Linked DNA regions of Notamacropus eugenii. The protein of the gene in region 1 interacts with the protein of each later gene in a biochemical or structural test. Links are inferred from orthologs where the notes say so. Each region holds a gene or a part of one and is shown in the gene's direction. Other genes may lie near its edges.

Region 1 (7,304 bases):
GATTTGGCTTCAGCATCAAATAGAACTGATTTCAAGTTGTACTGCTAATAAATATTGGCTGTGGAGAGGTGATGAATTCAAGGCAGAGATCAAAGTATATAAATGTATGTATGGGTATATGTATTTATATATGTTTATGCATGTATGTATGTGTATACACACATACACATATGTGTGTATACACACATATATATCTTTTTAGAATGATCAGTGGAGGAAATTCTTTCACTATTGTATTTGCTAGAAGGATTTTATTCTGTTGGAGTTGTCTTTTAATGAGGAGGAGGAAGGTAGAATGGAGAAAAATGTATTTTTGTAAATTGAAAAGATAAAATTTAATTTTAAAAATATACAACAAACTATCTGTATGATACTGAGTAGTTCAAATCTCAAATTTTTAATACTATTAGTTGCATGGAAAATACCTATCTGCAGTTATAGAGGGAATGCCTCACCAGGATCTCCCTACACAGTTCTGGTGGGGAAAAAAAACACAGGATGAAACTGTTGTAGAGGAGAACCATCGATACACCTGTATGCAACAAATCCAAGAGCCTCTTGGGAGACCACCAGAGGGAGCACTTGACTTGAAGGAGAGATGAGAGAAACAGGACTTATTTTTTTATTTTGTTGCTCAGTTAAGAGCCTTTCAATTAAAGAAACCATAGAATGCTGTTATAGATATAAAAATGTATAGGATGGAGAAGAGGAAGGGAGGAAAGAATGTCTTATCTTTAAAGGTCAACTTCTTTCTGGTATTGAAATACAATCAGTTTTAAGTTCTTCCTATAGAGAAGAAGTTAAACTTCTTATGAAAGGTTGCTCAATGAAATATGGACATATATGAATCAATGAGTAAAAAGTCATTTATTTAGCACTTACTATGTGCCAAGCACAATGCAATGTGCTGGAAATACAAAAATGGAATGTGAAGACCTTTAAGGTTCTTATAATCTAATGAAGGAGGCAACACACAAAGAGTAGTGAACAGAGAGGAATGCTTTGGTCCAGAAATTTTTAAGGATGATGAATAGACTGAGGTCACAGGGGAATAAATCGGCACATCCAACACAAGAACACTAGAACAGTTGATATGATCATGTTTAATAGTTACACATCTTTGAGGGAGGAGGGGAGAAAGAAAAGGAAAACTGTAGGGAAGGACAGAAGGAGGGAAGGTAGCAGGCAAGTCTATGGAGGAGACAGAGTTGGGAGTGAATTAAAGAATGGCTGGTGCTTTTCCTGAACTAGTGGTCCAGGAGGGGAAGAAGAAAGAAAAAGATAACCATAGTCTGAAAGAATGATGGTATCTGAATTCCCCAAAGCAGGCTACCACTTTCCTTCCTCAGCTCTATAGGGAACACAGTTCCTTTGGTCATGTATGTAGGTTTTAAAGAGAGACCATGTAGAGTTCAACCCCTTTATTTAATAATGAAGAAATTGAGACTCAGTGATGTTAAGTGATTTACCCAGGGTCACACAAATAATAAATAGCAGAGGTAAGTTTTGAACCAAAGTCATTTGACTTCAGTCTTTGAAAGATCCCAAAGTGTCTATAGTCATATGAAAACATACTTTAAGCCACTACTGACTGGAGAAATACAAATTAAAACAATTCTGAGGTACTACCTCATATCTATTAGATTGACTATCAGGACAGAAAAGGTAAATGACAAATGTTGGAGGGACATTAATGTATTGTTGGTGGAGTTGTGACCTGATTCAAATATTTCATAGAGCAATTTGGAAATATGCCCAAAGGGCTATAAAACCATGCATACCCTTTGACCTAGCAATACCACTACTAGGTCTGTAGATCAAAAAAGATTTTAAAAACAGGGAAAATCACCTATATGCACACAATATTCATGGCACCTCTCTTCTGGGACTAAAGAATTAAAAGTCAAGAAAAAGCCCATCAGTTGGGGAATGCCTGAACAAGTTGTAGTAGGTGATTACAATGGAATACTTTTGTACTATAAGAAATGATAACCAGGATGCTCTCTGAAAAATCTGGAAAGACTTGCATGAGTTGATGCAAAGTAAAATGCATGGTGTACAAAGTAATAGCAATATTGTAAGATAATCAGCTGTGAATGACTTAGCTATTCTCAGAATACAGCAATCCAGGACAACTCTGAAGGACTGATGATGAAAAATGCTATCCATCCCCAGAGAAAGAACTGATAATGTCTGAATACAGATTGAAGTATACTTTTTAACTTTATTTTTCTTGAGTTTTTTGTGTATGTTTTCTTTCACAACGTGACTATTATGGATATGTTTTGCCTATATTCGATTGCTTGCCTTTTCTATGAGTGGGAAAGGAAGGGAAAGAATTTGGAACTCAAAGTTTTTTTAAAAGTTGTAAAACAAAAGTTTTAAACTCATAGTTTTAAAAACAAATGTTAAAAAAATTTGATGCAACTGGGGAAAAATAAAATAATAAATAAAAGCTAAATATATGTGTGTGTGGTATAATGAAAGATGATCGTATCCCAGAATTTGAATGGGGTTTTTAGACCAAAGCTTAACAAATAGGAATGAGAGGCTTCAGGCCAGACATACACCTAACAAGAACTCACTCGATTTGGCTAGGGTATTGAGAGTCTATTCAAAGGAGAGAGGTATTCCACCTGTGATCTCATTGGTATAGGGAACTCCCAGGTGATGAAATTCCTTCTATCAGTGCAGGTCAGCACCTTATTTGTAATTTAGGGTCTTGGAGAATTGCTTAGAGTCCATGCTCTAGTTAAGTGACTTGTCCAGAGTCGCATAGCCAGTTATGTATCAGAGGCCGGATTTGATTTTGGGTCTGCTTGACTTTGAGGCTAGTTCTCTGTCCACTATACCATGTTACTTCTTTTAAGTCTAATCTAAAGGGCTGTAAACTGAAAAGAGGGAAATAAAAACTGGTTGATATTCACCAGTGTAGATACTGTAGAAAATAGCTACCTCATAAGAAGAAAAGAGGCAGTCAAAACACCTAGAAGTTTAGAAGTCAAAATCCAAGAAAAGATCCTGTCCTAAAAGTCACAGTTCACGTTATGTATAACAATAAGCTCCAAAGGGTTATATGACTTAAAATATGAATATAAAAGGTTATATTGTAAACCAGAGAAGAAAGAGGAAAGAAATATATACCTTTCAAAACCATGAATAGAAGGAAGAATTCTTAATTAAACAAGGATTAGAGGTGATCATAAAAGATTAAAAATAGACATTTGTTGTTCCTTAAAACTGAGAACTTGCACCAAAAAAAGTTTTGATTATTCAAGTTAGAATTATTAAGGAAACAGCTCACTGGGTGGAATCTTTGGAGCAAATTTCTCAAAAAAAGTTGTCTTGTTTTATTTTGATGGGCTATACTTACTGTTTACAAGAAAGGGCTTTGGTAGTACATAGAGAAGTGGGGCGGTGGGGGCAGTGATAAAAAATATAAGAAAAGAAAGAAAAGTCCATCAATGAAGCCCTAAAAATAAACATAGAAGAGAGAAAGATACATAGGTTAATAGGGATAATAGCTTAATAGCAGGAAGTTTTGTTGTTATTGTGTTAAATTTAATATATACTTTGAAAACATACGTAACAGTTCACAGTTTCCTACACCATCCTCTTTTTTGTTCTTTGTACATAGAAATGTTCATGTTCCTTTATGGTTTGTTAAATTCACAATTTAACATTAACAACCTAGGGTTGGAGCCCCCAGGTTTGGGCATAGCATTTTCTCTTTTTTGCACTAAGGGACCCCTATGGACCTGTGCACATGGTCCAAACAGCATCAGCCTTGGAAAACCCTGCCTCTAATGAGAGAAGTTAGAATCCCATTTCTCATACTCTTTGGTTCATTTTGTACCCCACTCTAGCATTTAAAGTTTTTAGTTTTGGCTCAGATTCATCTCATCTAGGGTCTCCCCAAAGGTGGAAATAGGAATCAGGTATGGGATAGTTATTTATTTGTTACACAAAAAAGACTGTCATGTGGAAGCTTAGACTGATCCCAGAGAGAAGAGTTAGGAAAAGTTTACTAATAGTATGTTACTAAAAAATGCAATGGACTGTCTTGGGCAATAAAGGACTTCCCTTCATTGAAGGTCTTCATGAAAAGCTAACTAACCACTTTTCAAGTATGTTGTTGAGGGAACTCATTTTTAGGTATGTGTTGCAGGCTCTGAAATTCTGTCTCTGTGATTCTGTCTCAATCTGTCATTATCCATTGGGAGCAATGAGAATAACAGCTGGATATTTGATTCAGTTGCTTATTAATCTGTGGAAGCAAAACAAGGACAGACCTCTACCATGTAAACAGAGTGATTCTTTATATCTTGTTGAATCCAGCCTCTTCCCGTCTTCTCTGGGTTAAACTAGAGGACACTCTGTTCTGTTATCTCTTTCCTGTTGTATGTCAGGTAAGTTTCTGATCAGAAATACAGCCTGTGGAACTGGGGTCAAAGATCTGTATGTTTAACTTGATTCCAGGAAAGGGACTTTCCAATAGATTTTCAGGCAATGTTTCAATCAACTAGAGTTATGATTAAAGGTCTTTCTATTTTGATATTCCTCATCTCCTTTTAGGTCCCTTGGTTCCTTTGGAAGTATGGCATTCTTTAGAAATAGGCCAGATCTGGTTCAGGCAAAATAAAAAGGGACATAGAATTATTTGGTCTCCTACTGAAGGGTTAGCAACTTTCCCACCCTCACCCTGTGGACTTCCTGGCAAGGACAAACAAGATTTACAAAACTTTTTGCAGGTTTGAACCATAGGTGGGAATGAACAAAGTAAGAAAAAGGGAGAAGAGATGGAAAGGAAGAAAGGAAGGGAGGGATGGAGGGAGGAAGGGAGGGAAGGAAGGAAGGGAGGGAGGAAGGGAGGAAGAGAGGGACAGAGGAAGGGAAGGAGAGAGGGAAGGATTTTGTATATCAAGATTTTTAAAATTTTATTTTATTATTAATTTTGTATGTCCAGTCCTGTGCTAGGCACTATAGAGGATCCTAGGAAATAGAGGGCATGTAGAAGAAAGCAGTCAGACTAATCTGGGCAGTGAGGGTAATGAGTATACATCATATGGGTTGGAAAGGCAAGAGATGTGTCTGTCTTTAATGGAGAGTTCTCATTCAGACAGAATGGGAAAGAAGTCAGGATAATTAGGGTGGGGACTCCCTTGTATAATGATTTCCAAATCAGTTTGGATTGATTAATCTTGAAGACAATGGGGAGTCAATAAAACACAATAAAACAAGAGACTGACAGGATCCAAAGCAGTGAAACTGGCTGTTTTGGAGGGAAAAGAGACAGCTGGTGGCAGCACCACCAGGAGGAGACAATAGCAAGAAGGATAAGAGTGAGGCTGGTTGAAAATCCCTGCCATTTTTCTTTCTAAATCAATTGACCTCAAGTTTCTACCCTTCCAAGGTTTGAAGAATGATTGACTTTTCCTGGTTCCCACTCCTCCTCATCATCATGGCTGTCTACTCAGAGCCAATTTTGAGTGAGACGACCGAGCAGACCTGCTGCTCCGTGGTCTCTTGTGGTACCCCTGGGGCAAATGGGGCTCCTGGAAAAGATGGAAGAGATGGGCTCAAGGGAGAAAAAGGAGAACCAGGTACATGCTAATTGGGATCCTTCTCCCTGAGTCTTCATTTCCACCAGGTGATCCCATGTGATGGTTGCCTCTTCTAAGAGTTCAGACTCAACATATGAGGTCATATTTATCAGTGATGTTGAATTGTTTCTCTAGATTCAATCTCTGTCCAAAAACTTTTCCTCTAACAAGAGAGTGAGATGATCAGAGAAGTTCTATTTATCTAGCTCTGGTAATCTGACACCCCAGTTTCCAAGAAGTCAAAGGAAGGATTATGTTGGCGCTTTATCAAAATAGGCAGTATATGGGGCCATTTTCAAAAGCTGTCTCTTGAGAATCTCTCAGTCCACCCCACTTTGGGGAAACCCATGGAATACTGCTTGCTTAGTTTGATTTAAAGTAAACACTAAATACTGGGAAGAAAGTCTGGGAACTCTTTCATGAGATCACCTGTTTGTTTTATATCCTCCTAAGGTGTCCACATATAGATCACAGTGAAATATTTTTTGCTCATTTCACTCCATTTTGCACAGAAGCAGAGGACTATGAGTTCAGGGACTGCATACCCATCTGTATAAGTGGTTTTGCTTACAGTGGTATACTCATTAATTGGGTAATTACATTTCCTGGCATATGATGTCTTAAGACTTTTATGTCTTTCAAAAATATTTAATGTGTAAGATGTCCTCCATTTCTTGTGAGTCTTTGTTACATGTAATTTAGCATTGAGTTCATCTGTATAATCTTGAATTCTTAATTCATGAAAACATACTTATGAATTAGATATAAATTGTAAAATAATCATTTTTTTTAAATCTAGCCTCGATTATAGCCTACAGATTCTTGCTAGGTCTTAAATTAAACAAGTTCTTGGGAACTGAAGCATATTTCTCTCCAGTTTCTGAATAAATTTCTTAGCTTTTCATGACCTGTGGCATGACACAAGTTTGCATTGCTATTGAGGAATTCCTGTAATATCAAAGCAATTCTATTTGCTAGTATGTCAATAGAATTATCAGAGTTTATTATTTTCTTCAGTTGGGACAAAACTTCTAGGCTTACTGAATGTAAAATAATCCCTCAAGTATTTTTGGAAGTGAATGTTTTACAGTCTGATGAAGATGGCCAGATCTTGCAAGCTTATCTGGACTTCTGAAAATGATTTGGAATTAAAAGACCTTGAATGAAAAAATAAGTTCATTAGTAAAAAATTAACATTTTCTAATCTTTAGTACATTAGTCTTTATATGGTTTTGCTCATGAAAAGCATTTTTTACTGACAGTAAGAGTTAGCAACTGATTTTCACTGTTCTTCCAACTTTAAAAAAAGTCTACACCATACTATAGAAAGATTGAAAACAATCCTTTTAGTCAAGAGATTCCTACAAAGCTTTTTACTTATTTTCTGAGGAATAATCAAGTTATTTTACAGCAACATTTTGTCAGCTGTTAGCATTATTTTTCATTTGGACTTCACTACCATTTGTGCTTTGTTGAGACTGCTCTTATTTCTTGTGGATTTGAAAAATGCTTGAAATGCATGACTTTCCCATACCCCTGTCATCAATACTTTTAATAGTTATTGAAGTGTGATCCTTGACAGCTACACTTTTTACAAGTTTCCATGAAGGAATAGCCCTTCTTTAAAAATTCTACAGAATTAAAAACACAAGAGAATAATGAAAGATGTATGTCCCAGATCCACTATTCAGCTAACAAAAA
Region 2 (7,412 bases), on another chromosome or scaffold:
TTCCCAGAAAGATATAGTGCAAGATTGGAAAGCTATGTTGGCACTATATTGCCCAGGGTCTTGAATACTTGTCTAAGGTTGGACTTTATTCTATAGACAATGGAGAGCCGTTGAAGGATTTGAGGAGAGGAGTAACATGATAAAACCTGTGAATTATGAATATTAATAGTATTAGAGAGGTATACAGGATGAATTGGAGCTGGGAAAGGCTAGACATTCAATGTATGCCCTCTCCAAAAGTATTTCCTGATAGCCTGAGGTCCTTGAATTAATTCCTCTGTTCTCCATTTGCCTTTAAATGGTCTGATTTCAAATTACTGAGCCCAAGAATTGCTTATATTTATATAGCATTTTAAGATTTATAGAAACTTTCTGTAAAGCACCTTTTGAGATTGGTGATACAAGATTATTATTTTTTTTCTATGGATGAATGAAAGAAAAAGCACTAATTTAGTACTGATTATGTTCCAGGCACTGTATTCAGCTCTGAGAATACAAATGCATAAGTAAATCAGTCCCTGTCCTCTTATCTAGCAAGGCAATCAATAAAAGAGAATGATGGCCAGGGAAGAGTGTTGGGATGGGGAATTCTGAAGGAGTGGTAATTGTAGTCATATGGCAAATGATTGCTATGTCCTTTCCAAGAATGGTAGTGTTGATTTGATAATGTTCTCAGAGCTAGAATAGGAAGGCAGCATGTGAGAGAAGGGACAGTATGGTATGGAGATGGTCAGAAAGTGATCGCCAGAGACGGGGCAAGATCAGGTGAATGAATGTTCATCCATCAGAGTTCAGAACCACAAGGGTGGGAGCTGAAGTTGCAGACTGAAAGTGGAGTCTAGAGAGCAGATAGCATGGCATGGGGATGGCCTGGGAGTGAGGTCAATCTTAGATTCATTGATATTCAATGATTTGACCAGGATTATCCAAGCAGAAGTCAAACTCAGATCTTCTCAAAGTGTTCTTTCCCTTTACCATAGCTGTCTCTTGTGTCAAGGTCTGTGGCTGGGTACCAAGTCACTGAAGTTACCAGGTAGGATTCGATGTTATTTCAGTAATTTTGCGTTGTGATTAAAATGTGAGGCAGCATAACATAGTTGATAAGTGGCATGCCTTGGGGTCTGGAACATTTGATTTCAGATCTTACCCCTGACCCACGTAGGCGAGTCATTTGCTGTATCCTAGACAACTCTATGATGCTGAGTTACAGGTGAGTTGCCTCCCAATCTGCATTTATGGAGAGAGTCTACACATCCTACATCAATGGAATCACAGGTTCTGAAAAGATGGGTTGAGTAGGCTTTGTAGGCAACAAACAGAAGTCTTAGGATCTGTCTAGGCCTAATTGATTTAGGAACCTCTTCTGCAAATGAAATGATGAGCTGGCCTGGGACAATAATTAGTAGTTATAAAAATTTCTATGGGAAAATGTAAGTTCCTTGAGTGTAGGGACCATGTTGTTTGCTTCTTTTTGTACCCTCAGTGCTTAGCACAGTTCCTTACACATGCTAGGTGCTTAATAAATGTTCTATCTATCCATCCATGTATGTGTGTAAGTATGTGTTCATCTATTTCTCTACTTAATTGTGTGTCTATCCATCCATCCATCTGTCCATCTGTCCATCCATCCATCCATCTATCCATCTACCTGTCTTCCTATCAGAAGGAAATGATGATATTTGTTTCTGGTAATAAAACCTAAGAAGAGCCTAAATGTATTAATGTTTTTAAAAAGGCTGGCACAATTTGATTCTTTTTTCCTGGACCATTATGAAGACAGAGAAGAACATCATATTCAGTAGCAGTAGACTTTTTCCTTTTTCCTCAATAACCTAATGTTTGACCTTTGCCTTTTGAGAAGAATCTTAGTCCCAATCCCTTGCTCCTACAGGCAAAGTAAAGTCTTTCCTGACATAAAGAGCCTTAAATTTCAAGTCACATTTCATTCCAATGTTTTTAATGGAAAATTCCGTACACCTCCCCCCCCCATTCACTTTCTTTCCCTGTTAACAATAGACTCAATTCTTCACTAAGATCTAAGCTTTTGAAATATCTGGCTCTTTGCTAATTTCCTGGATTCTATAAATACCCATTTAGGTAACCTCTGTTGGTTTTCCAAGATGGAAGCTAAATCTATTTTAGATGGCTTCCAAGTCTGTTTTCTCATGGCATTTCATTTTTCCTGAATCAGTCTTGTTCCAAAATAAAGCATTCTGTCTGTATAAATCCAATATATTTCGATACTTCCATGGATCTGTGATCTTAATGATGTGTGTACTTACATCCCATCTTTTATTTACCTCAGATTCCACTTTATTCCTTCCTATTAAATTCTAGTCTTAAAATTATGTCAGATCCTGTATCTATATACTCCAGATATTTTAATGAAAATAAAAACTTTCTGTTGATATAATTTTTCTATAAGAATTAAGAGTACCTCAATCATTTAAATACACATTTGGTAGCCACCTTGTTTTATAACTGTAACTGGGCATTTCTAGGCATGCCCAGTTATAACATGGAGATGCCCTGAGAAGCCTTTTGAGCATACCCCCTTTGTCTAGCAAGGAGCCCACTGCATCTCCTACTCTGAGGGCAGAGTTTGCTTCACTCTTCAATTGTACTAACGGCACCCAGCACAGTGTCTTCAGCAAGCAGTTAAAAAATACTTGTTGATTGATTCAATGAACTGAAAGTCACACAACTAGGAAGTAACAAAGGCTGGACTTGAATCTGTTTCTTGATTTCCAGTTACATGCTTTCTTCCCTGTGAATATCTGCAATCTCGACACATACCTACTTGAACATTTCAGAATTCTGTACTTTCACTTCCTCTACCCACTCAGATCTTAACCTAACTATGCCTCAGTAGACAGTCTTCATGAGCTATTGTGGTCAAAGGAACTTGTCACCTGGTGACTAACCTTCTGAAGGATAAGCCTGCTCTGAATATGAAAGACACAGTCTTTCTGGTGACTGTTCTCAAAGCCTTTCCGACTTGTCCATTGCCCTTTCCCATTTCCCCCAAACCCCCTAGTCTTTAAGGACCCAGCTTCACCTTCACAGTATGATGAAGAACTTCTGTGTAGGACTTCAGTGGAGATTCACTGATTAAGGGACCATAGATTTTTAGCTGGAAGGGACCCTTGATATCATCTGCTCCAATCCCTTTATTTTACAAATAAAGAAACTGACATAGAGTGGTTAAAACACACCTGGGCTACGACATGTCAGGATCATGCGTCTAGAACTGGAAAAGATCACAGAGGTTAGAAGCACTCTCCTCATTTTACAAATAAGGAAGCAGAGGCCCAGAAAAGTCAAGCATCATGATCAAGGTCATGTAAGTAAGAGCCAAGAATCAAATTCTGGTCCTTTGACTCCAAATTAAACACTCCAAGACACACAATTAGTAAGTGGTATATTTGCACCCAGGACCTCTGAGTCCAAGTTCAGTTTATTCTCCAAGGAACCCATGCATTTTTAAAAAAAATACATTAAAATAGAACTTAGAACAATGACATACAAAGAGCTCATAAATGCTAGTTGAATAACTACATAATTATATTGAGAGGAAATATGGTGTAATGCAGTAGTGTCAAACACAAATGGAAACCAGGAACGCTAAGCCATACGTGAGAATCCCTGTAGGCTGTACGTTGCCACAGAAAACCATATATTACCATTATCTGTTTTATTGTCATTTCTATTTATTTTGTAATATTGTAAATGTTATTTTACATTTTAATCTGGTGCAGGAAGAATTTGGGAGTGTTCGGACTCCCGTGGGGCACAAACCAGGGGAGAGACCTGGTTCAAGTCTGCTCTTTTCATGTTGCGTGACCCAAGTCAAATCACTTAACTTCTCTCAGGGTTGAATTTTCTAAGTGGAGGAGAAGGTGCCAATCTGCATTGGGGGAGGGAAGTTTCTCCCATATCAATGAAATCCAGTGTCCCTATCCCTAATTATCTTGATTTTATACCATGGGTACACAGAATACTGTGCAGAGTCTAAAGGGGTGGTCTGCAGTCTTGGGAGGTCAAGCCCTGCCACTAAGTTAGGGCAGATCACTCTGAAATGATTCCGTCGAGAGCAAGACTTTGCAGACTCTGCGGTATCTTCCCAAAAGAAGCTCCCGAAGAAGCCTGGCTCGGAGGAGACATCAAGCACAGAAAGGAGCTGCTGCTCAAACTTCAGCTAGCGGAGCAAGCCAAGCCAAGCAGCGCCAGCTTCTGGTTGGCCAGGTCCCTTCCAGGAGAGAGCCAATCCCAGCCGTCTCCGCCACGCGCCCCTGCGGGGGAGGAGGATGAGAAAGAGGGGGAGTCTGTGGTCTGGCCTCGCGCCAGGTGCAGCCTCAATTTAAATGAGACGCGGCGCAACGAGTGTCCCGGGGATCCGAGCATCTCGCCTTGCACCTGGCCGCTCCTCGCGGTCAGACCTCGAGACCTGGCTCTGGCGACCGGCATGGGTGCCGCGCAGCTCCTCTGGGGCTTGTTGGCTTGCCTCACGCCGGGAGTCTGCGGTGAGTAAGGAGGCTACGAACCACCGCGGGGGCTGAGGGGCGATTTCGGGGCGTTAGTCAGCACCCCCCGAGGGATTGCTCCACGTGGTCCTCCTCCGCCTGCCCCACTCCCTCCGGCAGACTTCTCTTCTGCATGCCCCCGCCCCCCAAGGGCAGAACCGGAGCCTCGGGGGTGGCAGGCAGGTGCAGGGAGGCAGCTCCCCCGGAGAAAAGGTGGAGGGAGGATCGCTGCCCTGGAGGGCCTTGGGGGTGGTTGGGTCTGGGCCTCAGGGGTCTCTTCCAGCCCAGGGCCCCTTTACTGAACTGAGGGGCTTGTGAGCGCTTGGAGCTTTGGAATTGGCATTCTGGGGTTGGCATCTTGTAGCGAAGCCCTCCTCCATCGTCGCTGTGTGTGTGTGCCTTCACCACGCGCCTCTGAATCCTTGGGCTAGGAAGGTTTCTGTCCAGCTGCAATTTCTCGCTCCTCATTCCCTGATGCCTCCGAATTTTGATCTGATCATCCACTGGGGTGGAGAGTAAAGGATGGAGTTTTAAACCTCGAATATTTGGAATTAGAAGTCAAATATAGTTCTCTCGAGCATCGTACTTCTTTAATAGTATACCCTGTATACTATTCAGCTTTTGCTAAAATATTTCTGATGTTATTCTGAATTGAATGAATCATAACGATTCAAGAATTTATCAAGTACATTGTAAAAGTGAAAATTTCCTGGTTTATGATAAGGGTTGTTCTTCATTATTGTCCCCATTTGGGGTTTTCTTGGCAAAGATACTTGCCATTTCCTTCTCCGGCTCATTTTACAAGATGAGGAAACTGAGGTAGAATTAAGTGACTTGCCCAGGATCACACAGCTAGAAAGTGTCATCAGATTTGAACTCAGAAAGATTCCAGACAGGGCACTCTATCAGCTGGACCATCTAGATGACCTGTGATATTCATTCATTACATTATTTCAGGAGTAGTAATTAGGGCTTAGATGAGGGTGGTATAACTTTAGGAATGTTGGAGGAAATGAGTAGGAGAGATTGTGGTTGTAGAAATGACAGGAATTAATTAAGCAAACCAGTTATTGAGACCTATTGGTATACTGTACTTGATATGAAGTGAAACCAGCATTTGGCACTGAATATTCCACCTCCTATTTCTGTCTCCTTTACTAACACATCTTCCTCCAGTCCCTTGATTTATGGGTAATTCCCCAACGTTCTTAACTTGGCCTTGTCTTGATATACTTACTCTGTTGGAGGATTTACCCAGACAGAACATATATAACAATGTTCATTCAGTAATATACTTGGGACTTTAGCAACCTTGTCTTTGCAGAACTCATATACAATAATTTCTGGCTGTATACATTGCATCTCACCTGGAATGTGAAATTCAGCATGTCCAAAACCTAAATCATGGCCTTTCTTTTTCTTACAGCCCCAGGAAAAATAGTATTGGACTAGGTGTTAGATTTTTCTGCTGATAGGTTGAAACACTTACTAGTTGCAAGTCCTAAGGCAAATCTTCCCCAATCCAGCATGCCTGAATTAAGAGATAGTGCTGAGATGTGCCTATAAATTTGTCCCCATTCTCTCCATTCTCCTGTCTATGCCAAATAGTATTGTTAGGTTGATCGTCCTTTAAAACAAACAAAAAATAAGGCTCTTTTTTGACCAATTCAGCAACATCTATTCACCAATACTCATGATATTACCTTGCTCTAGAATTTGTAATAATTCCCTATAAATCCCTGTATCTACAGGATGACGTCCTATCATCTTGTAGGCAGCTGCTGGAGCAATTATAAGAGTACGGAACTTGGAGTCAGAAAACTTGAGCTTAAATCCAGCCTCAGCTACACCAGTTTTCTCATCTATAAAATGCATCTAATAATAATATCTACCTCCAAGGGTTGTTGTGAGGATAAGATGAGATAATATTAGTAAAGGGTTTTGCAAACTTCTTCCAGGTATCATCATTACTTTAAGTCATCACATAATCACAGAGCCATCCTTTATTTCCCACTGTTTCCAAAACGTTCTCTGCCTCAATCTGGTTGGTTTCCCTTATACACACACCTAGCATGCCTTCCTCCTCCTTTCTTCATGCCTCTATCTCAAGTCCTGCCTCCTCTATGATGAGTCTTTATTCAGTTTATGCAGCTGAAACTAATCTTCCCTTTCTATGGCCCTTAGAGTCAGTGCTCCACAATGGGATTTATAGGCAGTGTGTTGTAGTGAATTGAGCTCTGAACTTGGAGTTAGAAAAGCTTGGGTTAGAATCTGCCCCATATTCGCTTTGTGACTGAGGGGAAGTCATTTAACCTCTGAGTCTCTGTTAACTTCTGTGTAATAGAGATAATAATACCTGTAGTGTCTCTCTCAGAGTTCTTCTGGGAGCTCAAATGGGATATTAGGTAATTTGGAAAATATACAGTGTTGTGTAAGTGTTGTAATTACTAGTCTTTCATCTACATGCTCTTGGGAAAATTACTTTAGTCAGGCAGCAAACAATTATTAAGCACCTACTATGTGCCAAGCATTGTGCTAAGTAATGGGGATTCAAAGAAAGGCCAGAATATAGTTCCTTTCCTCAGGAACTCCCAATGTAATAGAGTACACAATGTGCAAATATCTGTGTTCATACAATATGTTTACAGTGTAAATAAGACATAATCTCAGAGGAAAAACATGAGGGGCTGGGAAGAGGGGGTGGGGTTGAGGAGAAGGAAAGTCTCAATTTCTTCTTCTGTAAAATAGAGTCTGGATTAGATGGTTCCTTCTAGTACTTAATGTTCTGTGAATTTGAAATTATTTCAGGGCAGTAAATATTTGAAGGATAGATAGATAGATAGATAGATAGATAGATAGATAGATAGATAGATAACATTATATTTGTAT

The links.
Region 2: the proteins of MBL2 (region 1) and complement receptor type 1-like interact in a biophysical measurement, tested with the Homo sapiens proteins (2 studies listed by IntAct). The link is inferred for Notamacropus eugenii from reciprocal best matches to the Homo sapiens genes MBL2 and CR1.

What each region holds. Positions count from the first base shown.
Region 1 is NC_092872.1:227,507,345-227,514,648, reverse strand, and holds the start of MBL2 (mannose-binding protein C), read left to right. Parts: upstream 1-4,303; 5' UTR 4,304-4,409; intron 4,410-4,552; exon of another isoform or gene 4,553-4,779; intron 4,780-5,413; 5' UTR 5,414-5,422; coding exon 5,423-5,603; intron 5,604-7,304. UniProt on the Homo sapiens protein: Calcium-dependent lectin involved in innate immune defense. Binds mannose, fucose and N-acetylglucosamine on different microorganisms and activates the lectin complement pathway.
Region 2 is NC_092873.1:431,677,968-431,685,379, reverse strand, and holds the start of complement receptor type 1-like, read left to right. Parts: upstream 1-4,400; 5' UTR 4,401-4,465; coding exon 4,466-4,523; intron 4,524-7,412.